Linked DNA regions of Callithrix jacchus. The protein of the gene in region 1 purifies or fractionates together with the protein of each later gene. This does not show direct contact. Links are inferred from orthologs where the notes say so. Each region holds a gene or a part of one and is shown in the gene's direction. Other genes may lie near its edges. The genes, in order: SERBP1, LARP7, DNM1L, TSR1, PRMT1, RBM42 and HNRNPU.

Region 1 (3,500 bases):
AGCCTCCTGAGTAGCTGGGGAACTCATGCCTGTGCCACCAAGGCCAGCTAATTTTATTTTTTATAGAGAAGGGTCTCACCATGTTAGGTATCACCCAGGCTGATCTTGAACTCCTGGGCTCAAGCAGTCTTACTGCCTCTGCCTCCCAGAGTGCTGGGATTACAGGTGTGAGCCACCACACCTGACTTTATTTTTTATTTTTATGTGGTTGGTTGGTTTTATTTTTTTTCTGAATATTTTTGATCTGTGGTTTGTAATGAATTGAAAGCATTGGTTTGAAATAGAAAACATTTAAAAATCAGACAGCATATATAATTGACTTTAATTTACTGATGTTTTTGTGAATTTGTTTTTAAGTTTCTGGGCTCCACTTAAATTAGTATTAGAACTTTCTGTTGCCTTACAGTGTATTGATGTGGCACAATGGGATGACATTGAATACTATTATGAGATGATGTAAGGGTTGAAAACATAGATTAAAACAAGTTTATTTGCACTTCAGAGGGTAGTTATTAACAGCTGTAATATTGTAAGTTGAATCTAATGGAGTTGTAATAGTACAGGTTCTACTGAAAGAATAAAATGTTTATTATCCCTTAAAGAGAAGGATTTTTTTTTTTACATGTATTTAGGAAAAACTGTACTTTAAAGTCAAATAAGCAAAGATTTTAGAAGATAAAACCCATCCCAAGCATACAAGAAGACAACAGGCATCGAGCAGTGTAGAATTGTCTGACCTTTTGCTTTTTTCCCCCGGACTGGGTCATGTATCTTTATATAAATAGAAAAACTGGATTTCACAAACATGACTACATTTTTAAGAAGGTTCTAATTGGGCACTGTGGCTCATGCCTGTAGTCCCGGCACTTTGAAAGGCCAAGGCCAATGGATCTCTTAAGCCCAGGGTTTTGAGACCAGCCTGAGCAACACTGCAAAAACCTGTCTCCATAAAAAATTTTTAAAAAATTAGCCAGTTGTCATGGAATGTGCCTGTAGTCCCAGCTACTTGGGAGGCTGAGGTGGGAGGATTGCTTGAGCCTGGGAGGTAGAGGTTGCAGTGAGCCCAGATCATGCCACTGCACTCCAGTCTGGGTGACAGAGTGAGATTTTTGTCTTAAAAGAAAAAAAAAAAAAAGGTTCCTGACATATTTAACATTTGGTCCTCTTTGTGCATAGCTTTCCAATGTGTGTGGTTATCTTTGTGCATAGCTTTCCAGTGTTTCCCTCTTAATGTAAAGTGTGTAGTGTTTTACTTGAATTTGTAGCTCTAATTTGTATAGAAAAACATAATAGTTGTATATTAACAGAAAATGCTTCTAAGAAGTTTATATGTAATACTGTCTTTACCCAAGTTGTAGTTGGAAGAGTGTAGAACAGAGGTTTTCTTTTTAACTTGAGTGTTCTTTTTAACTTCAATGTTAGTACTAGTAAAATAACCTTATATGTCTTCTATCCAAAGGTCTACATCAAGGATTCACATTGGAGTCCTAAACTGAAGGGCATATTTAAAATGTATTTGTCCAGATTTCACTGCTAAAGATTATGATTCAGTAGGTCTGGGATGGGTTTCAGCTATTTGCGTTGATTGTGATAACATATATGACTTTAGTTGAGGACTGCTGGTATTACCTGCAATTTTGAGATAGAGAGAAGTGAAGGAAATTCTTTCTTCAAGATCACTATAGCTGAGTATAGCTTGTTACCTGTGGAGACGTTTGTTGACAGAAAGTACAGTTTTTGGAGTTTTGGTCATTTTAGAAGAAAGCTTATTATTTAGGAATTTTGCAACATTGCTTTTCTACTACTTACTCAGTCGTCTTCACTTATATTTTTAGGCTCATGCTGAAGATTCGGTTATGGACCATCATTTCCGGAAGCCAGCAAATGATATAACGTCTCAGCTAGAGATCAATTTTGGAGACCTTGGCCGCCCAGGACGTGGTGGCAGGGGAGGACGAGGTGGACGTGGGCGTGGTGGACGCCCAAACCGTGGCAGCAGGACCGACAAGGTAATTTAAGTCCTTCTTTTCCTTTTAAGTAATTTAAGGACCTCTTATAAGTCACTGACTGGGTCTTTTTGTGAACGTAAGTAGAAGTAGTAGCCATGTCTTCAGGAAAACACATGTTAGGTTATATTTTTGTTTAAAGCACTTAAATGCCTTTTTGTATAAAGTTAGTAATGTTTAATTGCCACACTTTAGAGTTCCTGTTAGGTGCCGGTCCTGGTGCTGGGCTAGGCATTTTGTGTGCTTAATGTCATTTAATTCTTGTTACTATGATGACATTCTCATTTTCCACATGAGGAAACTGATAGAGTGAATCAAGTTAACTCTTGGCCTTTGCTAAGGTTTACCTGAAAACCAGTTGTTCACTTTGATAATTCCTAACTGCTTTTTAGGTCTCCGCTTAATAACCGTTGTGTTCCCTGTATAACTTCTTTTGTGACACTCATGATTGTTGACACTTTTTCTTTTACTAGACTCTACTGTGAAATCTGGAATTCATTTTTGTCTTATTTTCTATAATCTCTCCAATGCCTTGAACAGTGCGTGTCACAAAATAAGTTCTTAGCTAAATATTTTGATGAATTCCCAAGTAATTGATAGATATGAACTCAGATCTGATGCTTGGAAACAACCATAATGTCCACCTAAATTCTCAGCACCTGATACACAAATTCAGGGACCCACCTGCTTGATTCAGTCTGTCTTTGATTATAAGGATAACTTAATAGTATAGATTTTGTGGTCTTTACTGCCAGTGTAATGATACTTTGTTTCTACCTCTAAGACCAATCTGCTTTTTTTTTTTTTTAAGGCAGCAATTAGGTTGATGGGTTTTTCCCATACCTTTTTTAGTTCTGTGGCTGTAAAAAGCAGTTTGGACTCCTTTTTTCAGACTTATTACCTTGTTGATTGTTGCTACTTAAATATTAGTTTCTTAGCATGCTTTTTCACATTTATGCCATTCTTACTTAGCAAGTGGAAAAAGTATAAGAATACTGAACAACAGGCCGGGCACAGTGGCTAATGCGTGTAATCCCAGCACTTTGGGAGACTGAGGTGGGGGGATCATAAGCTCAGGAGATCGAGACCATCCTGGCTAACTTGGTGAAATCCCGTCTCTACTAAAAATGCAAACATTAGCTGGGCACGGTGGTGCATGCCTGTAGTCCCAGCTACTTGGGAGGCTGAGGCAGGAGAATTGCTTGAACCTTGGAAGCAGAGGTTGCAGTGAGCTGAGATCGCGCCACTGCACCCCAGCCTGGGCTGCAGAGCGAGACTGTCTCAAAAAGAATAAAAAGAGGAATTACTGAACAGCAGTGTGAATTCACATACATAATTGCATGTGAATCTACTTGTGTGGTTTATTGGAAAAATAAAGTAACTGGCTGGGCACAGTGGCTCACGCCTGTGATCTTAGTACTTTGTGAAGCCTGGGTGAAAATCACCTGAGGTTTGGAGTTTGAGACCAGCCTGGTAAAAATCGTGAAACCTGTT
Region 2 (3,500 bases), on another chromosome or scaffold:
GATGGAAGAACCAGCCTGACCAACATGGCACCCTGTCTCTACTAAAAGTACAAAAATTAACCATGCATCCCAGAGGCGGAGGTTGTAGTGAGCCAAGATTGTGCCACTGTACTCCACCCAGGGTGACAGAGCAAGACAGTGTCTAAAAAAAAAAAAAAAAAAAAAGGAAGAAACTGCTACCTTGTGGGATTGTGAGGATTTACAAAAATGTATATAAAGTAACTGGTGGTGTTACATGGTAACTTTTATTCCAGTAAAATGTTACTTTTTTTTTAAGCAATGTTTTCTTAAATTGTGTATTATGTTACAGGAAGGTGCTTAGGAATTTCAAATGTTGCATGTTTTGACATAAGCATCACAAAACCAAGTCTGTATTTTAGATGGGTTATACATAGGCTCCTGCTGAGAACAGATGACTTACAGAACAGTTTATAAACTGTGGCCATATTCTAGTGACAGTAGTTGCAGAAAACACTGGATGGAGATGAGGAGCCATTTCAAAAGTCAAACTGATAAGATTTAACAACAGATTGAATAGAATAATGGTTACTTATTGTGTTCTGTGTATCAGCAATTTGAAGTACTTTATTTTCATTATTTTGGCTAATGCTGACGACTATTACATAGGTATGATTTTTATCCATGTTTTATAGACCACAGAGAGATGGTGTAACTTCCTCAAAATCCACACAGCTAATAAATAGCTTGATTGGTTAATTTTTGGTGGAATATGGCATCCTTAAATAAGTTGAAGGAGGCCAAGGTAGGTGAATCACCTGAGGTCAGGAGTTCAAGGCCAGCCTGACTAACATGGTGAAACCCCATCTCTACTAAAAATACAAAATTAGCCAGACATGGTGGCAGGCATCTGTAATCAGCCTCCCAAAGTGCTGGGATTACAGGTGTGAGCCACCATGACCAGCCGAAGAAAGTATTTTCAAGGAGGAAGTTACCAACTGCATTTGCTGCTGAGAGGTCAAGTAGACCAAGCCCATTGAGGACTTTGCAGTATCTCTAGAATGGTGCAGAGGAAAGCCTGACAGAATGGGTTGAAGTAAGACCATTAGGTGAAGAACGTGGTTATGTGGTACTTAATGACACCTGATTGTTTTTCTATTATTCTGACCTGTAGCTGTGTTTTATGTCTTAAATTAGCATCACCTAAATATGATATTACTTGGATATCTTCAAACTTGGTGCTTGACTGATCTACTGAAGCCTGTTCTAAAATGCCAAAATGTCCTTCTGTTGATGAGAATGCATGTTTAGTTGGAGATTTGAGGTGAAATGCATTAAGGGCTTTGGACCCTCTTACCAGCTATCAGACTCAAGTGATTCAAATACTATGTTTACCAAAGAAAGATACAAGGCAAAAGATAGGGTAGATATAGCTTCTTCATCCCAGCAATGGCCAAGCCATTATATCTAGCAATTACCCAGATTCGTTTCTTTTTTCTCCCATTTACCCACAAGAGGCATGTATGGCTTCCCTAGATAAGGACCAAGGTGTGTTTAGGATAATTTGACACATAAAAGCTTTAACACCTTTTGCCTGTCAATCTGTTGTTCCGGTCACATAGGTATAAGGCCTCCATGTCATTCAATAGCTGCTCCAAACCAGGTACAACATGGGAAACAGATACAACACTCCCCATTGGTTTCTCCAGTTTCCAAGAAGACTGTATTATGGGAGACTGAGGTTATTCTCAAGCAGGCTGTGTTATCCCAGACCGGATCCTTTGCTCATATACCTCAAGTGATTCAATTCATTCAACAAAATGTAGGCACAATTTATTCAACAGATTTTTAAGGGACTGTTGTGGCAGGGACTGACAATCTGTCAGTAAACAAAACAGACAAAAATCTCTGATTTCATTGATCTTACATTCTAGGAAAGAAAATGAATTGCAAAGTAGTTGTAGTAATGTTAGATGATAAATGCTATGGACGAAAATAAGACATGGAAGTTACCATGTATGTGTCCAGAAATTTGCATTATTAAATATGGTTGTGGGAGGAGACTTCAAAGAGGTGACCTTTAAATAGGCACTTGAGGAGGTAGGAGAGCAAGCTGTTATCGCTGGGGATATGTGTTTCAAGAACAGGTTTAGACCTGATAGATTTTGCTGGGTGAGTTTCAGGAAGTACAACAAGGACAGTATGACTGGAGCTGACAAAGCAAAGGGGAAGAGCTATGCAAAGTAACTTGAGGAAGGAGGGGGTTAGAAATTGCTGCCCAAGAGGCCAGGCGTGGTGGCTAAGGCCTATAATCCAAGCACTTTGGAGGCCAAGGCAGGCGGATCACCTGAGGTTGGGAGTTCAAGACCAGCCTGACCAACATGTGAAACCCCATCTAAAAAAAAAAAAAAAGATTAAAAAAAAAGTAAAAAAAGAAATTTCTGCCTCTAGAAAGCATAAATTAACATTTTAAAAATCAAAATCAATAATCAGTTTATTTTTATTTTGTCCCATAAAGGTTATAATATTAAAAATCTGAATAGGCCGGGCACACCGGCCAATGCCAGTACTTTGGGAGGCCAAGGCAGGTAGATCACCTGAGGTCAGGGGTTCCAGACCAGCCTGGCCAACATGGTGAAACCCCATCTCTACCAAAAATATCAAAAGTTAGCCGGGTGTAGTGGTGGGCACCTGTAATTCCCAGCTACTCAGGAGGCTCAGACTGGAGAATTGCTTGAACCCAGGAGACGGAGGTTGCAGTGAGCCAAGATCACACCATTGCACTCCAGCCTGGGCAACAAGAATGAAACTTCATTTCAAAAAAAGAAAAGTGAATAAAACTTATTTGGTGGGGGAGGGTGGTGGTTGTGATGGAAAATATCCAGGTTGCTTAATCTTACACTTTTCATTTACTGGCTTAAAAGTACAGCTTAGTGAGATAAACGCATAGTTGTTATGTTATACTAGAATAATCTGGCCCTGCAATTTAAAAGGTGGAAAAAAACTAAAGCTGCGATTTCTAACATAGGAGGTAAATTATTTTATAATTTAAATTATTAAATATAAAAATAAATTTTCCTTTTGTCTTCTGACAGCCAAATGATGAGACCATTATTCTCTCAGACAATTAAAGGCTACTCTAAATTAAACTATATTTGCTGTTTTGCTGATTTAAATATTTACCTCTTTTTCTTATAATGCACAGGAATGGAAACTGAAAGTGGAAATCAAGAAAAGATAATGGAAGAAGAAAGCACTGAAAAGAAAAAAGAAGTTGAAAAAAAGAAACGATCACGAGTTAAACAGGTGCTTGCAGATATTGCTAAGCAAGTGGACTTCTGGTTTGGGGATGCAAATCTTCACAAGGATAGATTTCTTCGAGAACAGATAGAAAAATCTAGAGATGGATGTAAGTTTGCTTCAGTAAAGGGACCAACTTGTGGATAATGGTTGCCTCTGAATTTAATGGTTGCCTCTGAATTTACTTATAAAGTAGTATATTCTTTTTTTTTTTTCTTTGACACGGAGTCTTGCTCTGTTTC
Region 3 (3,067 bases), on another chromosome or scaffold:
GGCTGGTCTCAAACTAAACTCCTAGCCTCAAGCAGTCCACCTACCTTGGCCTCCCAAAGTGCTGGGATTACAGGCATTAGCCACTGAACTGTTGCTTTTCTTAAATTATAATTAAGCAAAAATCTAAAGGGCAATTATGCCATTAATGAAATATCCAAAGTAGTACAGTGTTCTTATTTCATGAGGTCAGCATCTAAGCCCAAATTATTAAAAGTAGAATTTTGGCTAAAATTCCATAATTTGGCTTTGTTTTGCAGTGTGCCAAAGGCAGTAATGCATTTTTTGGTTAATCATGTGAAAGACACTCTTCAGAGTGAGCTAGTAGGCCAGCTGTATAAATCATCCTTATTGGATGATCTTCTGACTGAATCTGAGGACATGGCACAGCGCAGGAAAGAAGCAGCTGATATGCTAAAGGTACTGTGAAACTTTTGAGTTTTTATACTTTGGCAGTAGACAGAAATGCAGTTTGGATTCTTGGATATATATATGTGTGTGTGTGTGTGTATGTGTGTATATATATATGTATATATAGTCTTTATATTCTAGCTTGGTTTGTTTCTTGTTGGTACTTGATTAGATTCTAATTAGATTCTAATATTGGTTAATATAAACCTACCACATATACACTGGAAAAATTACCCTGCACAATTCTGATTAATTTCATAACTTTATAATAAGCATTTAAAATTTTTATTTCCTTTAATGCAGGCATTACAAGGAGCCAGTCAAATTATTGCTGAAATCCGAGAGACTCATCTTTGGTGAAGAGAACTATATACTACTCAGACTTTGTTGACTCAAAAACTTGCTAGTTACTGCCTGAGTAGAATTTTATTTATGAACTCCTGTGTACTGCAATGGCATGAATCTGCTCATGTGAAGACTGGCTATAAACTGAAAAGTGTATTCCATATTGCAGAACAAATCACACATTTAATCCAAATAATAAATGGCTGTTTCTAAAGTTTCCCAACATACATAAAATACATCAAGTCTGTCTTGTGACAGTTTCATCTAAACTTAAGAAGAACTGTTAATGTTCTAGTTGTACAAAGCAGTTTGCCTGTGGATAAGATGACCTGTGTAATCTTTGTTAGTAGTCTTAAAGCTGCTGCCATAGTCCTCCAAGAAGAAAGCACCAAGACAACATTTCATTTGACTATAATGCATGTACTGTATAAACTGAACTGGCTTTGAAAGATGTGGGTTGGCAAGTTCCTCACATACAGTCATTGTATTCCACCTGTCCTTCAATTTACTTTTTCTGAGCTACTCTGCAGCCTTTGATGTGTTTTTAAGAAAGCTGAATGCATAAGAGGATCTGTGACACGGACATGGATGTGGCGTGCATACTGTGTAGTTACATAGCCCTTCCAATTCTGGGTCCATTTGCCCTAGCATATTAAAATATGCTTTGATTCATACTTAAACCTGTAAGCATGAATGCCTACATTAATTCCTACATTAAAAACAACAGCCATCTACCCTTGATTATCTAGTAAGAGTTGGTAATGATGGCCGGTTCCTTTTAGTTTTAGAAGATCCAGTGATGACCTAAATTTCCCTTAACTTGCAAATACAGTAGTAGTAACAACGAAGGTACATCTTTAAAATGGAGCACTTACACCAGCCTCTAAGATTCACTTTGAGATGGGACTTAAAACCAATATACTGTATGTGTATGCTGGTAATAGCTACTTTTGCTTTAGCGCATACAAACAAAATATATTCCAACAAAATATATTAGAATAGTATGAAAGTACCGGAGGAGCTTTGTTATTGAAAGAAAAACACCCAGACAGACAAACTCCTTAAGACTTACAGACTTAAACTGCCATTTATGGGGTAGTGATGAGGTTTAGAACATATAAATCCCCAGGTGATTCTTGGTATAAACTACATTATAAATTTTAAGATATACCTGACATCCAGCCCCATCACTAACAGACAACATATTTATATTATAGATATTAAATTTTTTTCAGTTTATGATCAGATATTTATGAAGGACTATTGGCAGGGAAAATATGAATGTTAACTTTAGCTTACTGTACCAATTTACTAAGGAACAACAGGCTCGCCAACTGATCTCAAACATTAAAAATCCCATATAAGTCTGATATGATATGGCACTACCTTGAATCTGTTACTAGTACCATCTTGACGGGATACATGCTCCCAAAACTTTTGTTACCACATTTAAAAATCACTCTGCTGTCATTAAGCATCAGTTTCAAAATTATAGCCATCCACGATTTACTTTTTCCAGATAGTCTTCTGAATTCGTAAGGGGAAAAAACCCAAAAAACTTACGATGCACTTTTCTCTAGCACATCAGATTTCAAACTGAAAATTAAAGACATGCTATGGTAATGCACTTGCTAGTACTACACATTTTGTACAACGAAAAACAGAGGCAAGAAACTTAATGGAAAGAGAAAAAACGTTCTTTTGTTGGCCCTTAAACTGAGTCAAGTTCTGAAATGTAGAGATGATCTCTGACATTTACAATGGATACCTGTATATTCTTGCTGTGTAAATAAAATTGCTGGTATGAAATGACATTAAAGTTTGTCAAAAAAATTCTTAGGTTTTCTCCCACAGAAAGGAAGAAAAGGAGCTTTTTAATATCTAAATCTACTTTGAAACAATCGTATAGAGTACTAAACGTTCTATGATTTTTTTCCTACCAGATTCTGACAGTTCACCAAGGTATTATTATATTGCCATTTTTGTGTATGAACACAGTGACTTGCTCCAAGTAATCCAGGTAGTAAATGGCTAGAATTTGAACACTAAAGCCATGCTCTGCAGCCTGTAAGATTTTCAAAAGAAATCTGATTAATCATTTCATATGTGATTCACTTGATCCTCAGGGCAACAGGGAGGCCCGGCCACTGCCTTTTTTTTCAGATATGGAAATAGTTCTGGAGAATTAATTTGCCTCATGTTTGCAGAGCTGAACTCAGTCTTGATTCCAAATCCTTTAGGTTTGACCTAAAAACTTTCCTTGCCTGGATACTTTTTAATATTCTCACGAGTGCATATTTTATTTTGGGGGGGT
Region 4 (3,500 bases), on another chromosome or scaffold:
TTTGAGACCAGCCTGGTCAACATGGAGAAGCACTGTCTCTACTAAAAATACAAAATTAGCTGGGTGTGGTAGCGCATGCCTGTAATCCGGCTGAGGCAGGAGAATCGCTTGAACCCGGAAGGCGGAGGTTGCAGTGACCCATCGCACTCCAGCTTGAACAAGAGAAAAACACTGTCTCCGGAAAAAAAAAAAAAAAAAAACCCTGGAAATTAGAAAATGGTCATTTGAAAAATTTTGACAAGTTTTGGCATTCTGTTGCATTCATCTTCTACATGAGGACCGGTATTTCTGGGTCTTTCTGGTTATTCTGTTTGATTTGGGAGATTTTTGGTTAATGGTTGACTATCACCTGCTTTTTTGGTTTTCAGATTTGTGCTACGGATACTGTAGATGATATGGAAGAAGACCTTAAGGTCCTAATGAAGGCAGACCCTGATAGACAGGAATCCTTGCAAACAGAGGTTATCCCAGATCCAATGGAGGGGGAGCAAACCTGGCCCACTGAGGAGGAGATGAGTGAGGCAAAGGGTTGGTATTGGTAAACTTGTTTGTAATTCATCTGACCTGGAATTGTGGATTTCCTCTAGCTCTTCAGAGTGAGAACCATATGGGATAGAGTGGGATAGGGATATATTTGAAAGTCTCTCCTCATCCTCAAATGTTATATGTTTTCACTAAACAAACATTAGACACAGCTTTGTTCCATTTCTCAAAATAACTTGTGTTAATGTTTTATCATGAACAGATAAACAACTTTGGATTCATTGCAGGGCTTATTTAGCTGTGTAAGTATTGCTAGTTGTGAGGCAACGGAATTAAATTTAGAAGTAGTTAGTTCTGCTTATGGTGTCTGCTGGAATTTCCCATGTTGGCAGCAGCGTCTAGTGCCTTGCCTGGGTGAGAATAACCAGAGGGATAGGGAAAGGATAGCTATAATTTACTTAATTTGTTTGGGCTTTTACAGATTTCTTGAAGGAAAGTTCTAAGGTGGTAAAGAAGGTCCCCAAAGGAACATCCAGTTACCAAGCTGAATGGATTTTGGATAGTGGCAGCCAAAGTGATGGGGAAGGAGATGAATATGATGATATGGAACATGAGGATTTTATGGAAGAAGAATCTCAGGTAAGGAAATGAGGCCTTAGGCCATTTCTGTGTCTAGCTTCAAACATAAAGCAAAGTGCAATTGTAATCTTGAGGGGTGTGTATGTTTAGTTTCTTAGGAATGACTCTAGTTGCCAGGAATGAGGCTTTTGTTTTCTGCTTTAGGCCGTATTAGAATCTATGTTAGTTGGGAATAGGTATCCAATACAATTATTTTACTCTTAGCTTATTGGCCTTTAGGGTGTGGATTTCTTCTGAAATAAATAATCCTTTATTCTACAGGATGAGAGTAGTGAAGAAGAAGAGGAAGAATATGAAACTATGACTATAGGGGAGTCTGTGCATGATGATCTGTATGATAAGAAAGTAGATGAAGAAGCTGAGGCAAAAAAGTTGGAGAAATATAAACAAGAAAGACTGGAAGAGATGTTTCCGGATGAGGTGGACACCCCCCGTGATGTGGCTGCTAGAATTCGGTTAGTCAGTAAATCTAAATTAAGTCAATAGGTTTTAAAAACTTGGCTCAGAGCTATGTCACTGTGATACAAAAGAAGAAAAACACATTTTTCCTGCTCCTGAAGAGCTAACATTTAATATGGGAAGGCAAGACATACATACATACATACATACAGGAAATGGTAATATATAATCAAGTTCTAGACTGTGGTACAGACTACTATTACAGGACTTTAATGAAGGAGAAATACTAAGGTTAATTAGCAAATACTTCTTCCCAAAGGAGCCAATACTCAATTGAAGTATATAATGTTTGGAGATTTTAGGGGGTTTGGGTAGAATAGCAGAAGTAGAAGAGTGAAGATGTAGATGATTATATCTATTCTGGAGGTGAGTGACTAAAGCCAGTGAATTAATCTTGGATATTAAGGAGATAAGGCTGTGTATTAAGCCATTCTCGCACTGCTATGAAGAAGTACCAGAGACTGCGTAATTTATAAAGAAAAGAGATTTAATTGGCTCATGGTTTTGCAGGCTGTACAGGAAGCATAGTGCTGGCATCTGTTCAGCTTTTGGGGCAGCCTGAAAAAAACTTACAATCATGGCAGAAGGCAGAAGGGGAGCAAGTTATGTCACATGGCCAGAGTAGGAACAAGAGACTGAGGCAGGATGTGCTAACACTTCTAAACAACCAGATCTCATGAGAACGCACTCACCAACGGGGATGGTGCTAAGCCATTCATGAGAAAACCTCTCTCATAATCCAGTCACCTCCCACCAGGCTCCACCTCCAACATTGGAGATTGTATTTCAATATGAGATTTGGGCACGGACACACATCTGAACTATACCAGGTCATTACCAAACATCTTTTTTGTCAGGGAGCCACTATAAATCCTTTGTCTTTTGTCAGTGGGAAGCTTGGGTTTGGTTCTGATACAACTTGTTACAAGTTGTTTTGCAGTGTGGTCTTGGTTTAAGCTGATAGTTTATTTTGAGAGATAGTGATTGGAGTTCTTTTGAGCTAGATCCTTAGCCATTTTAGCAGTGACTTGAGTCTATATAGCACCATGTAAATCTGACTTAATTTTTATAAAATCTTCAATATTCTAGATTTCAGAAATACAGAGGCCTCAAGAGCTTCCGGACATCTCCATGGGATCCTAAGGAAAACCTTCCTCAAGAGTATGCTCGGATATTTCAGTTTCAGAACTTTACTAATAGCAGGAAAAGCATCTTTAAGGAGATTGAAGAAAAAGAGGTTGAAGGAGCTGAGGTATCTGCCCTTGTCCATCTTGTATGTTGCTTTCATTTGTCAACATGCTCCCACTTTACTCCTTCTCTTGGCATGGAAATATGCTGCGTTGGGAAATTAGGGGAGCCCCTGAGTCATCGACAAGAATGATACTGGAAACAGCCCAGGTGTAGTGGCTCACCTGTAATCCCAACACTTTGGGAGGCCGGGGTGGGCAGGCCACCTGAGGTCAGGAGTTCGAGAGCAGCCTGGCCAACATGGAGAAACCCCATCTCTGCTGAAAATACAAAATTAGCTGGGTGTGGTGGTGCATGACTGTAATCCCAGCCACTTGGGAGGCCGAGGCAGGAGAATTGCTTGAACCCAGGACGGGGAGTTTGCAGTGAACAGAGATCATGCCATTGCACTCCTGCCTGGGCGACAGTGAGACTCCATCTCAAAAAAAACAAAACAAAACAAAAAAAAAAACAAAACAAAACAGGCCGGGCGCGGTGGCTCACGCCTGTAATCCCAGCACTTTGGGAGGCTGAGGCCCATGGATCATGAGGTCAAGAGATCAAGACCATCCTGGTCAACATGGTGAAACCCCGTCTCTACTAAAAACACAAAAAAATTAGTTGGGCATGGTGGCGCGTGCCTGTAATCCCAGCTACTCGGGAGGCTGAGGCAGGAGAATTGCCTGAACCCA
Region 5 (4,254 bases), on another chromosome or scaffold:
AATTGACGTTGAGAAGCTGGCCAGACAAAGAGAGGTGGGAGTTCCTGGCAGTGGTAGGGACTTGGCAAAAACCAAGAGTCTGGAGAGGGGTTGATGGGCTTAAAAAACTTGGAATGGGCCTGGTGTGGTGGCTCAGGCCTGTAATCCCAGCACTTTGGGAGGCTGAGGCGGGTGGATCGTGAGGTCAGGAGTTCAAGACAAGCCTGGCCAACACAATGAAACCCGGTCTCTACTGAAAATACAAAAATTAGGTGGGTGTGGTGGCACGCGCCTGTAGTCCCAGCTACTCGGGAGGCTAAGGCAGGAGAATCGTTTCAACCAACCTGGGAGGCGGAGACAGCAGTGAGCCGAGATCGCACCACTGCATTCCAGCCTGAGATACAGAGCAAGACTCCATCACAAAAAAACGAAAAACAGGACCGGGCGCGGTGGCTCAAGCCTGTAATCCCAGCACTTTGGGAGGCCGAGGCGGGTGGATCACGAGGTCAAGAGATCGAGACCATCCTGGTCAACATGGTGAAACCCCGTCTCTACTAAAAATATAAAAAATTAGCTGGGCATGGTGGTGCGTGCCTGTAATCCCAGCTACTCGGGAGGCTGAAGCAGAATTGCCTGAACCCAGGAGGCGGAGGTTGCAGTGAGCCGAGATCGCGCCATTGCACTCCAGCCTGGGTAACAAGAGCGAAACTCTGTCTCAAAAAAAAAAAAAGAAAAGAAAAACAAAAACAAAAAACAAACTTGGAATGATTATGTCAAAGGCTAGGATATAAGGATTTAATGTGTTGAGGCGGACACCTATTCCTCACTTGCTTAGGGACCCCAGACAGGCCCTTCCTCTCACTGATTCAGTTTTTTTCCCCCCAGAATGGGCACAAGCCCCCTTTTTCCTCCAGACCCTCCCCGGCCTGGGAAAATCCACCGAGTGTTCGAGGAGTGGGAGTTCCTTTGAGCCAATCGGTGGTGCCTGAAACCCCGCCTCCTTCACTACCCTTGGGCCAATCGTCGTGTTCTCCTTGAAGCCGGCCGCTTGGCGAGGGTGGGCCAAGGGCTGCGTGACGTCATGTTAGGATAAATCAATGGGAGCGATGAGGAGGCGGGTCGTTTTGGTGATGGACAGGCATTTCGAGACGCCCCTTTAGCGCGGGGCTCGCCGGGAAGCTTTGAGGCGGTGCTGGGGTAAAGGGGCGGGCATTTATGTAGACTTTGCCCAATCACCAGTCGCGCTTTTTGCAATAGACGGGCAGTTTTCCCCATCCCAGGTCGACTTGAGGGGGCGGGACTCTGGGCGCCAGAGTTGGCAAACCCCTGACCTATGATCGACGTCTTCTCTACCCAATAACTAGACGGTATTCTCAGACGGGCTGCCTCCTTTACCAATGAAATCTTCCGGCGGGGTCGCGGTAGGCGGGCCCTAGACCTTCTGGTATAAGACGGTCCCGGGGGAGTGAGGAGAAAGGGGGGGTCTTGGCGGCCGGAGGAGGATTAGGTGCGGGTGAAGATGGCGGCAGCCGAGGCCGCGAACTGCATCATGGAGGTGAGCGCTTGAAGCGCCGCCTTGAGAGGGGGGCGGCTTTGGGTCGGTGTTTCACAGCTCTGTGGTGGGGAAAGGGCTCTAAGTCGGCGACAGGAGGTTAGAGGTCGCCCGCCGCACACGGGGTCACCGCACGCTCCGCATCCGGGGATATCGTTTTAAGTTGCGGTTCCCTAGCTTTCAAGGGCCTTCGGCATCCGGCCTAGCGGAGGGTCTCATCCCCCCTCCCACGTGGAGGGGGGCTGGGGGCGCTTCCGGCCAGGCCCCCACGTGGCCTCGGCGCGGTGGGTGGGGAGGGGGTGTGCCGAGTCCGGTGGCCTGGCGGGCTCCACGTGCGGGACAAAGGCCCCGCCCCCGGCCGGGGAGGGGCGCCCGGGGGGGCGGGGAGGGGGCCCGACCCTCCGTCTGAGGCCACCAGCTCTCCTCCCCGGAGACGCGGGCACACGCCTTGGGGTGGGATTGATCTGGGGCCCACCAAGATGTAGGGAGTCTCTGGGGAAGGGCAGTGCTTCTCAGCCCTTTACAACCTCCTTCCGAGCTCCGGGGACATCTGTTGGGACAGCGGCCCCGGTTTTGTGCGTTCTGGGTTAGGCACTGGAGGAAGACAAAAGAATGGGGTCCCCCCGACCCCGTTTCCCATCTCAGAATTCTCCCCCTAGCCCAGAGCTTTAGGAGTTGGGGGATGGGGCATGCCCCTGTGACCTCCCTCTGGGTGGTTGTGGGGCATCTAGGTGGAGATTTTCCCATTAATAGGTGCCGTGCACCCCCTTGTGGCCATTTCTGGGTGTGTGGGAGGAACATCTTTTTCATGGGGCGTGTCCCGAAGCCCACCTACCGTCGGATTTCTTCCGGGCGGGGGAGGGAGGAGGGTATATCCGCTGGGAATGAGTGGTGGTGGGAAATACGTAGGCTGAGAGCTTTATCCTCTCCTGGAGCCCTTTATCTCCCCCGGGCCTTTGTGAGGGCGGGAGATGACCCCCCCCCCAGGGGGTCCTGAACCCCGGGGTCCTGAGGCTGGCTGCCTGAAAGGGTTTCGAGTTAGGTTGGGTTCTCTTTCAGCCATGTGGGGGAGGTTTCCGTCTTGCGTTTCAAGCCCTCTTGGGCTGGAATTGTCTTGAGGTAGTTTTCAGCGTGATTGAGAAATGGGCCCCCGCGGGAAAACCCCCCAGCACTTCTTATAGGCATCCGCGCTGGCTTGGGAGAGCTGGGGGGAGGGTGCTTGCAGCCTAGTAGGTCATGGCCTGTGATGTGGCCCTTCTTGGAGACTTGGAAAGTGGTCACATCTGGAAGAGATGTAATCTGATGGGACCTCTGTTCTTCCACCCCTTACCTATGGCACTGGCTGGAGGGGCAGGTCAGCTCTCAGGATGCAGTTCCCAGGGGTCACTGCTATGACTTCCCACCCCCTTGGCGGTCTCCTGCACCAGGGCTCTAAGGGTGGAGGAAATATCTTCCCCAGGGGTGGCCTCAGGCTTGGCCGCACCTAGGGGTCTTCAGGGCCTAGGATGGGTGTCTGAATGGAGGCGATGGGCTGACTCCCCAAGCCACTTTCTGGAGTCCTCTCATTCTTAGAGAGTCCAGGGGCTGCCCATCATCCCTGGGACTCCATCTTCCAGGGCAGAGGGTTGTAAGGGAGGGGGTTGGTTCCCGCTGGTTTTGTTTGGGGGCTCCTGAGCCCAAGGCAGGAGCTGGGGACTGGGGTACTAGCTCTGGGGGAGTGCCTGTGGGCCAAACCTCTTTTCTGGAATCCTCTCAGACAAGAGACTGGTTTGCAGAGGTGGCAGATGCCCTGTGGGCATAGCCTGCCAGCCCCCCTCCCTCCTGCTATTCATGGCACCCTAGGATAGGGGTGTGTGTGTCAGGAAGTGTCACCTAATCTGGGGGAGATTATGTGATGAGGGGGAGCGACAGCTGGCGGTGGCCAGTGCCAATTTCCCTGGCCTGGATGGGGGAGGTGTGTGGTCAGCTGCCTGGCCAGAGAGGAGCAACGTGGGGGCGGGCCACCATCTCTCCAGCCACAGCTGGGGTCGGAGACCCCCTTTCTTTTCTCTCCCCTCACTTTTCCCATCCCTTCTTAAGCACCCCACCTCATTACTTGCCCCCTTTGCCACCACTCCCCACAAAGAAGAAGAATTGCTGGAAACCCACCCACCCCACCTCCTGCCAGAGCCCAGGTCCCGCCGCCCAGCCCCCTGCAGCCACTCCTGGTAGCTAATCCTTTTTCCCTGTTACTCTCTCCTAGAATTTTGTAGCCACCTTGGCTAATGGGATGAGCCTCCAGCCGCCTCTTGAAGAAGTAAATATCCTTTTGTGAGACCCCTCCCCACCCTGACCTCCACATCAGTATATCTTGCCACACACTGGCCCTTTCTCGAGGTCTAATCATACCCCTCTTGCTTCAAACCAGTTGACCCCAGGCCCCCAGACACTTAGTAGCAACCCCTCCAGGTTCACGGCCCTGCTGGCCTCCCCCAGTATCAAGGCTACTTCCTTAACTCCACCTCCAGCCCCCCTTTGCCCTTCCCTGTGTCTGCCCCCGTTTTCCTTCCCCTCCCCTCCCCAGCTGTGGGCTGAGCTAGAGACGGGGGCAGAGAGACTGGAGATATGGTAGGCGTGGCTGAGGTATTGGGGTGCTCCCCTGGATGGTGCTCTGGGGGGGGTCGTGGAAGTGGAAAATGGGGCTGTTAGGTTTTGGGGTTCCTGGGGGGCTGTAGGGTTGTCAT
Region 6 (4,011 bases), on another chromosome or scaffold:
GGCAAGAGAATTGCTTGAACCCAGGAGGTGGAGGTTGCAGTGAGCTGAAATCACACCACTGCACTGCAGCCTGAGCGACAAGAGCAAGACTCCGTCTCTAAATAAATACATACAAAAATACATACATACATACATACATACATACAATAGCTGGGCATGGTGGCTAATGCCTGTAATCCCAGCACTTTGGGAAGCTGAGGCGGGCGGATCACCTGAGGTCTGAAGTTCAAAACCGGCCTGGCCAACATGGTGAAACCCCGTGTCCTCTAAAAACACAAAAATGAGCCAGGCGTGGTGACACCCTCCTATAATCCCAGCTGCTCGGGAGGCTGAGGCAAGAGTATAGCTTGAACCTGGAAGGTGCATGTTGCAATAAACCGAGACGGCACCACTCCACTGCAGCCTGGGCAACAGAGCGAGACTCTTATCTCAAAATTAATTAATTAAAATAAAAAATAAGAGAAGCATAGATCAGGTGAAATCCAGATGTGTCGAATATTGATAGCGTTTGAGAGGTACTTAAGAGTTTGTTATACTAGTCCCTCTAATGTGCATGTTTGAAAATATTCAGAATAAAACACTTTGAGGGCTACGGGGAAGAAAAAAAAAGAGGGGTCAGCTGTGTCCCAAGAAAGGACAGGGACCAAGCCCACGCACGTGCCCCTCTGCGTTGCACTAGTGTGGGCCTTGGCTCCCACCCTGAATATCTCGTCTCATCTTCAAATGTCTTCAGATGTCCTCCGCCAGGAAGCTCGGGTCAGGCGCTTCCTCCCGGGCATCTCTAGTCTTCATGGGAACCACAGGTCGAGTGTCAACCTACCCCAGGGTAGGAGCCCCCAGCCCTCAGCCCCAGACCCCAGCTAGGCCTCCCAGCCTTGCCCAACCCTGAGGTTGACGCGGACTTCAGCGTCTTTTAAAACTTCCAGCGCGGGCTTCGCGGTGGCACAGGAGGGGCCTCCGAACTTTCCTGCGTTCTCAAAGGTCCAGATTCCACATTGGGGACGGGACCAACTGACTTTGCTTTGCTCTCATTAGCCTGTGTTCCTCCAGGAAGGCGAGACCGCCTATCTTCACTGCGCTCTCATAGGCCCAGGTTCTTGCGTTTGTTTGTCATTCTCTCACTCTCATTGGCCTGGATTCCCCCTGAGGGTGTGGCCAGGTCTCATTGGCCCTCGCGCCCGGATTTATGACGTCATGTGTCAGCGCCCGTCGCTTTTGCTGGACGTCATCCTCGGTGAGCCCACCCTGACGAAGGAGGAGAGTAGACAGCAGAACCGGCGGCGGCGGCGGCGTCTAGGCTGAGACAGTAGTAGCGGCGACAGCGACGGCGGCAGCGATGGCTGGGGCGGGGCCAGCCCCGGGACTCCCGGGTGCAGGAGGACCCGTGGTCCCGGGCCCTGGCACTGGCATCCCGGGCAAGAGCGGCGAGGAACGCTTGAAGGAAATGGAGGCGGAGATGGCCCTGTAAGGCCCACGACAGGGAGAGATAAAAGTCGTCCCAGAGCCAGAGCCTCCGAATCCCGGAGCCTCCAGGCCTCGATTGGCCAGAGATGCGCTCTAACGTGGGGAAATGGGACCTTCGGGATTGTGGGGGTGGGGATAGGGGAGAGGTTGGCAGGGGTGACGGTCCCCGCGAAGTATACCCAGAGTTCCAAAATTGGTACGAGATCCTGAGCTCTGGTGTCTGTTCTATTCCTCCAGGTTTGAGCAGGAAGTTCTAGGGGCTCCAGTACCCGGAATCCCAACTGCTGTGCCTGCAGTGCCCACGGTCCCCACGGTAGAAGCGATGCAGGTCCCAGCGGCTCCTGTGATCCGCCCAATTATCGCGACAAACACATACCAGCAGGTACGGTTGAGCTAAGGCATATAAGTCAGGGAACACAATATCTCTAACACAGTAGGTGTTTGTGTACAGAGAGCTGTTGACGTTTTGGTTTGTTGACTAATTAGCATGACAAATATTTTGTGTGTCAGGCACTGAGAACACAGTAATGACTGAGACAGACATTTCTGCCCTTTGGGAGCTTATATTCTAGAGCATGCTGTCCCGTAGAGCTTTCTGCAATAACGGAAATGTTCTGATATATTTAAAATTTATATTTAATAGTTCCTTATTCCCAGTCACATTTCAAGTGCTCAATAGCCAACCATATATGAATAGTAGAGAAGAAGAGATAAATTATTATGATGAAAACAGGCTGGACACGCCTGTAATCCCAGCATTTTGGGAGGCCAAGGCAGGAAGATCGCTGGAGGCCAGGAGTCAGCCTGGGCAACACAGATCCTCTCTCTCCAAAAAAAAAAAGAAAAGGCAGAAAAATTAGCCAGGCCTCGTGGCACAAGCCTGTAGTCAGGGCTACTGGGGAGACTGAGGTAGGAGGATTGTTTGAGCCCAGGAGTTCAAGACTGCAGTGAGCTATGATCATGCAGCTGCACCCCAGCCTGGGTGACAGAGTAAAACCTAGTCTCTGCAAAAAATTCAAGTTAAAAAATGAAAATGAGCAAATGAAACTTGATCATTCTGTCAACAAATAATTATCAGGTGCCTTTTATGCACCAGTCATTATTCTAGGCATTCAGCATTATAGCCAAGTACAAAACAAAAATAATCACTGTATTTTTGGGGCCTGTAATCCCAGCACTTTGGGAGGCTGAGGTGGGCGGATTGCTTGAGGTCAGGAGTTGGAGACCAGCCTGGCCTACCTAGTGAAATATGGTTTCCACTAAAAAAATAGAAAAATTGGCCAGGACGGGTGGCTCACACCTGTAACCCCAGCACTTTGGGAGACTGAGGTGGTTGGATCACAAGGTCAAGAGATCAAGATCATCCTGGCCAATATGGTGAAACCCCATCTCTACTGAAAACAAAAAAAATTAGCTGGACGTGGTGGCGCGCACCTGTAGTCCAGCTACTTGGGAAGCTGAGGCAGGAGAATTGCTTGAACCTTTGAGGAAGAGGTTGCAGTGAGCTGAGATCATGCCACTGCACTCCAGCCTGGCAATAGAGCAAGACTCCGTCTCAAAAAAAAAAAAGAAAGAAAAAAAAAAAAAAATTAGCCAGGCCTGGTAGCACACGCCTGTAATCCCAGCTACTTGGGAGGCTGAGGCGGAAGGATCGCTTGAACCTGGGAGGCAGAGGTTGCAGTGAGCTGAGATCACACCACTGTGTTCTAGCCTGGTCAACAGAGTGAAACTCAATCTCAAAATAAATAAATAAATAAAAGTATGTTAAGAAGGATGGAAGTTCCTTAGCACAGACACAGAAGTCCTTTCTGAGGAAATCACATTTAAGCAAAGATACAAAGGAGACATGGAGGGAACCATGCAGATGTCTGGGGGAAGAGCACTCCCAGCAGAGAACTACCAATGCAAAGGTCCTGAGGTGGCCGGCGTGGTGGCTCACGCCTGTAATCCAGCACTTTGGGAGGCTGAGACGGGTGGATCACAAGGTCAAGAGATCGAGACAATCCTGGCCAACATGGTGAAATCCCATCTTTACTAAAAATACAAAAATTAGCTGGGCATGGTGGCACTTACTTGTATTCCCAGCTGCAAGAGAGGCTAGGGCAGGAAAACCGCTTGAACCTGGGAGGCGAAGGTTGCAGTGAGCCGAGATCACACCACTGCACTCCAGTCTGGTGACAGAGTGAGACTCTGTCTCAAAAAAAAAAAAATTTTAAAAAAAAGGACCCGGCCGGGCTCGGTGGCTCAAGCCTGTAATCCCAGCACTTTGGGAGGCCGAGGCAGGTGGATCACGAGGTCAAGAGATCGAGACCATCCTGGTCAACATAGTGAAACTCCGTCTCTACTAAGAATACAAAAAATTAGCTGGGCACGGTGGCGCGTGCCTGTAATCCCAGCTACTCAGGAGGCTGAGGCAGGAGAATTGCCTGAACCCAGGAGGCGGAGGTTGCGGTGAGCCAAGATTGCGGCATTGCACTCCAGCCTGGGTAACAAGAGCAAAACTCCATCTCAAAAAAAAAAGGACCCTGGCTTGTGTTGTGAGATTGG
Region 7 (4,118 bases), on another chromosome or scaffold:
CAGTTAAATCATATTAGCCTATGGGAGAAATTTCAATGTCTATACTTCGAAATTTCAAATTAATATTGAGACAATATTATTGTGCCACCTAGAGCACCAAACCGTGGGCATAAACCATCTCCGTCGTGAGCCGGAACACTGGCTGGACACCGCAGATTATCTGGGGCTTAAGCTGTTAACCTCTATCACAAATCTAAAGTCTGCCTTCCCTATGTAAAACTTCAAGAACATCACATCTTTAATGAGAAAACGTAAACTTCAAACATACAACAAAATATCAGGTTTATTTTCAAGCGCGATAATCCATTTTTCTTTTTACAAAATCACAACCATTGATTTTTATGAACTTTTAAGTTTCAGAATGATTTCGTCAAGAGTATTTCTACAGGAATAGAAAGAGATCGAAGTGTATGCCCTCGCTGGGTCTCACCCTCACTGTTAGTTACCGGGACTTCACAGCCGGATGAGCAGGTCCTAAGGTGGACAGAACAAGGAGGTCCGTCTTTGCGGTAGGTACAGAAAACTTGGAAGTGCAATTCTGAGGCTTCTTCAGGGTTATTAGGAGCTTGATACCAGCTGCCCCGAAAAGGCTGGGTAAGTGAGGATTTACACTACGGAGTAGCAAGCAAGCCTCTGCTTCCCAGGCCCTGCGGCCGGGTGTGCAACAGACAAAAGAACAGCTCTGCGCTTGCCCTTCCCGAACTTGAAAACCAGTTCGCAAGGCCGGACTTACACAAATTAAATCAAATAACAGGATTATGCGGAAAGGAACCCCTGCGTATAACAGTTGCCAGCGTGTTATGCCACTCAAAACTGAAACACGATTTTAAGGAGTTTTAAACGAATGGCTGGAGACCCATCTAAGAAGGCAGATCTAAGATGGAAGAAAAGGCGGACTCGGGTTGAAATGGCAAATTGAGGACTGAAGAAAGCATTTGGATAAAACAGCCTTCAGGCTGGGAAGGCAAAAAGCAAAACGAGTAGAGCCACCAAAGCCCCAGAAAGGCCAACAGATCGTGCAGTGGGTCGGTTTAACTGAAAGGCGGTTTCCTTTTCCTCCATTTGCTCAGTCCCAATTGGAAGCGCACTGCACGGCCTACGCCGCGCTCTCGGGCGGGGTGCAGCGTGGGGGCGGGGAGATAAGTACGGTAATGGGCGGGGCCGAGCGCGGGCGCGCTCCGGCTTTCCCCCGGCGCAGCGCTCCCGTCAGCGCAAGGGGCGGGGCGGCTATATTACGTGCGCGGCACCGCCCCTGCGAGAGGACGTTGCGTGCTCGCTCGCGCCAGGCGAGTCTCCGCGTCTCCGTCGCGAACTCGGTGAAAGGAATTGGCGCCGTTCGACATCAGGCGGATCCGCTCTGCAGCACGAACCCATCTCCAGCCGCAGCCTAAGCCGCAGCCGCCGCCCGGGCCGAGGAGCAGCCGCAGCAGCCGCCACCAGTGGCCGAGTGAGCGGAGCCGAGTTTGAGGCAGCGCCTAGCGGTGAATCGGGGCCCTCACCATGAGTTCCTCGCCTGTTAATGTAAAAAAGCTGAAGGTGTCGGAGCTGAAAGAGGAGCTCAAGAAGCGACGCCTTTCTGACAAGGGCCTCAAGGCCGAGCTCATGGAGCGACTCCAGGCCGCGCTGGACGACGAGGAGGCCGGGGGCCGCCCCGCCATGGAGCCTGGGAACGGCAGCCTCGACCTGGGCGGGGATTCCGCCGGGCGCTCGGGAGCAGGCCTCGAGCAGGAGGCCGCGGCCGGCGGCGACGAAGAGGAGGAGGAGGAGGAGGAGGAGGAGGAGGGGATCTCCGCCCTGGACGGAGACCAGATGGAGCTAGGGGAGGAGAACGGGGCCGCGGGGGCGGCCGACGCGGGCCCGATGGAGGAGGAGGAGGCCGCCTCGGAAGACGAGAACGGCGACGATCAGGGTTTCCAGGAAGGGGAAGATGAGCTCGGGGACGAAGAGGAAGGCGCGGGCGACGAGAACGGGCACGGGGAGCAGCAGCCTCAACCGCCGGCGACGCAGCAGCAACAGCCCCAACAGCAGCGCGGGGCCGCCAAGGAGGCCGCGGGGAAGAGCAGCGGCCCCACCTCGCTGTTCGCGGTGACGGTGGCGCCGCCCGGGGCGAGGCAGGGCCAGCAGCAGGCGGGAGGTAAGAAGAAGGCGGAAGGCGGCGGAGGCGGCGGTCGCCCCGGGGCTCCGGCGGCGGGTGAGTGCTGCGTTGTACGTTGCGCGCGGCGGGAGGCCCGCGCGGGGTGGGGACCGTGCCCCAGGCCTGCCGGAGCCCCGCAGGGGGAGGGAGCCCCCGGGCGGGCGGGCGGGGGCCGCGGCGAGGCTGGCGGGTGGGGGAGGGGGCGCGGGGAATCCCAGATTAGCCGAGAGGCCTCGGGCTCGGGGGGGGGGGGGTGGTGCGCGCGTGTGACGGCGGTGGCAGCGCCTCCATTATGTGGCTCGAGAGCTGGGGGGAGCTGCAGCTGCCGCTGGAGGGGGAGGAGCCGCGGGCCGGCGGCGGGAGGGAGCTTCGTCGGCCCGCGGTGGCGCCGTCGCGCTGCGTGCGCGCGGTGCGGGCACATGTCTCGGGGGGAGGGGAGAGGCCCGAGGTCCCGGGGCGGGCGCGCTTTGGCGGCTTCTCGCCACTGTATTGTGCAAGGAGCACAGGGGCTCGGCGTGACGTCACTTCCGGCGGGAGGTGCCGGGCGGGGCGGCGGGCGGAAGATCTGTACAATGCGGCCGCGGGGAGCGCGGGCCTGCGGGGGAGGGGAGCGCCGAAGCGCCGGGCTGGACGCCCCCCCCCGCCCCCCTCCCCCCGTCTGCTCCGTGCGCCCTCTTCGGGATACACGTGGGCTCCTGGCTTGGTCCGTGCAGTTTCTCTCTGGCCTTCTCGAATCATCGAGGAGACTGGCAAAATTAGTAACGTCTTTAGACTGCGTCACTAGCGCCAATCTAATTCCTGTCTGATTGTTCTTTGAAGGCACATTTGAGTCCTCGGTTAAAAGCTCATTTAAAAAGCCGGGTAAATCGAGCTGCTTTGTGCCTCGGCCTCGGAAAAGGGTGTTGTGTTGTTTAGCGGCTTGACCTCTTATGGGGGTGTTGTGTGTTTTAGGGGATGGCAAAACAGAACAGAAAGGCGGAGATAAAAAGAGAGGTGTTAAGAGACCACGAGAAGATCACGGCCGCGGATATTTTGAGTACATTGAAGAGAACAAGTATAGCAGGTACAGGATGCTCCCCTAGTTTTACTCGTCAGCACTTACTGGTTTGTTGATCAGAAAGCTGTATCAGGAGACACTTCTATCTTTCAGAGCCAAATCTCCTCAGCCACCTGTTGAAGAAGAAGATGAACACTTCGATGACACAGTGGTTTGTCTTGATACTTGTAAGTGAAGCTGTTTCTCCCCAATTATGAAATGCAGTGGTGGTTTTTCGTTTTTTTGTTTTTGGTTCCAAAATGTTAGAAAATTTAATGCAGTCTATGTTGAGCTTAAGTGCTGAAAACTTCGGTGAGGTTTTGAAAGCAGGAAGGTAATGGTTTCTATTCGGAAGCACGCAGTGTAATATTTAGCACAGCATCAGTTGTATTAAATGGAATGTTACAGGCTCTAGCAGTTTCATATTTTTATGACTTGAAAGTTCTCATTCTTAGGAAATGTAAAATTAATGCCAGTTTTTGACTATCTGACGGAAACTTGTAAAACTACCTATAGTTCAGACTTACAGGCTCCTACAATAAAGTAATTAATTTTTTTGTGGAATTCTATTAAGTGAGCTATTTGGGCTAGTTATATATTAACTAATGACTTTTCCCATTAGCACACGAATATATTCCCTATTCTAAAAGATTGTAATATTATTTTCAATAACTGCTCTTTGTTCTCAATTCCAGTTCAGTAGCTGCTGCTTTAAACATAAGTTGATTTCTTCCAAAGACCTGAGGCAGCAGCAGTGGGCTATCACTGGGCCACTAGCTTTCTTCAGCAGCGAAATGGTATCAATGACAGTGCAGCACTGTAAATACTGCTACTTTACCCAGTTGGGTTGCAATTAGTATGAGGAAGTATTGCAAACCTCTAAGTGGGCTTTGTTGTTGCTATAAAAACTGTAGTTGGTTTAGTGATCAGAATGCACAACTCTGATAA

Evidence for each region.
Region 2: the proteins of SERBP1 (region 1) and LARP7 purify together in Homo sapiens (affinity purification with mass spectrometry; 3 studies listed by BioGRID). This does not show direct contact. The link is inferred for Callithrix jacchus from reciprocal best matches to the Homo sapiens genes SERBP1 and LARP7.
Region 3: the proteins of SERBP1 (region 1) and DNM1L purify together in Homo sapiens (affinity purification with mass spectrometry; 3 studies listed by BioGRID and IntAct, with this or other methods). This does not show direct contact. The link is inferred for Callithrix jacchus from reciprocal best matches to the Homo sapiens genes SERBP1 and DNM1L.
Region 4: the proteins of SERBP1 (region 1) and TSR1 purify together in Homo sapiens (affinity purification with mass spectrometry; 3 studies listed by BioGRID and IntAct, with this or other methods). This does not show direct contact. The link is inferred for Callithrix jacchus from reciprocal best matches to the Homo sapiens genes SERBP1 and TSR1.
Region 5: the proteins of SERBP1 (region 1) and PRMT1 purify together in Homo sapiens (affinity purification with mass spectrometry; 3 studies listed by BioGRID and IntAct, with this or other methods). This does not show direct contact. The link is inferred for Callithrix jacchus from reciprocal best matches to the Homo sapiens genes SERBP1 and PRMT1.
Region 6: the proteins of SERBP1 (region 1) and RBM42 purify together in Homo sapiens (affinity purification with mass spectrometry; 3 studies listed by BioGRID and IntAct, with this or other methods). This does not show direct contact. The link is inferred for Callithrix jacchus from reciprocal best matches to the Homo sapiens genes SERBP1 and RBM42.
Region 7: the proteins of SERBP1 (region 1) and HNRNPU purify together in Homo sapiens (affinity purification with mass spectrometry; 3 studies listed by BioGRID and IntAct, with this or other methods). This does not show direct contact. The link is inferred for Callithrix jacchus from reciprocal best matches to the Homo sapiens genes SERBP1 and HNRNPU.

The regions. Positions count from the first base shown.
Region 1 is NC_133508.1:104,649,693-104,653,192, reverse strand, and holds part of SERBP1 (SERPINE1 mRNA-binding protein 1), read left to right. Parts: intron 1-1,835; coding exon 1,836-2,009; intron 2,010-3,500. UniProt on the Homo sapiens protein: Ribosome-binding protein that promotes ribosome hibernation, a process during which ribosomes are stabilized in an inactive state and preserved from proteasomal degradation.
Region 2 is NC_133504.1:84,550,414-84,553,913, reverse strand, and holds part of LARP7 (la-related protein 7), read left to right. Parts: intron 1-3,163; 5' UTR 3,164-3,165; coding exon 3,166-3,367; intron 3,368-3,500. UniProt on the Homo sapiens protein: RNA-binding protein that specifically binds distinct small nuclear RNA (snRNAs) and regulates their processing and function.
Region 3 is NC_133510.1:38,741,723-38,744,789, reverse strand, and holds the end of DNM1L (dynamin-1-like protein), read left to right. Parts: intron 1-257; coding exon 258-417; intron 418-711; coding exon 712-768; 3' UTR 769-2,567; downstream 2,568-3,067. UniProt on the Homo sapiens protein: Functions in mitochondrial and peroxisomal division.
Region 4 is NC_133506.1:65,921,096-65,924,595, forward strand, and holds part of TSR1 (pre-rRNA-processing protein TSR1 homolog), read left to right. Parts: intron 1-368; coding exon 369-528; intron 529-964; coding exon 965-1,122; intron 1,123-1,383; coding exon 1,384-1,577; intron 1,578-2,670; coding exon 2,671-2,833; intron 2,834-3,500. UniProt on the Homo sapiens protein: Required during maturation of the 40S ribosomal subunit in the nucleolus.
Region 5 is NC_133523.1:43,444,021-43,448,274, forward strand, and holds the start of PRMT1 (protein arginine N-methyltransferase 1), read left to right. Parts: upstream 1-1,454; 5' UTR 1,455-1,498; coding exon 1,499-1,534; intron 1,535-1,633; exon of another isoform or gene 1,634-1,815; intron 1,816-3,773; coding exon 3,774-3,827; intron 3,828-4,038; exon of another isoform or gene 4,039-4,135; coding exon of another isoform or gene 4,136-4,153; intron 4,154-4,254. UniProt on the Homo sapiens protein: Arginine methyltransferase that methylates (mono and asymmetric dimethylation) the guanidino nitrogens of arginyl residues present in proteins such as ESR1, histone H2, H3 and H4, FMR1, ILF3, HNRNPA1, HNRNPD, NFATC2IP, SUPT5H, TAF15, EWS, HABP4, SERBP1, RBM15, FOXO1, CHTOP, MAP3K5/ASK1, MICU1 and NPRL2.
Region 6 is NC_133523.1:31,829,416-31,833,426, forward strand, and holds the start of RBM42 (RNA-binding protein 42), read left to right. Parts: upstream 1-1,211; 5' UTR 1,212-1,336; coding exon 1,337-1,464; intron 1,465-1,701; coding exon 1,702-1,846; intron 1,847-4,011. UniProt on the Homo sapiens protein: Binds (via the RRM domain) to the 3'-untranslated region (UTR) of CDKN1A mRNA.
Region 7 is NC_133520.1:41,327,376-41,331,493, forward strand, and holds the start of HNRNPU (heterogeneous nuclear ribonucleoprotein U), read left to right. Parts: upstream 1-1,318; 5' UTR 1,319-1,500; coding exon 1,501-2,191; intron 2,192-3,085; coding exon 3,086-3,197; intron 3,198-3,284; coding exon 3,285-3,358; intron 3,359-4,118. UniProt on the Homo sapiens protein: DNA- and RNA-binding protein involved in several cellular processes such as nuclear chromatin organization, telomere-length regulation, transcription, mRNA alternative splicing and stability, Xist-mediated transcriptional silencing and mitotic cell progression.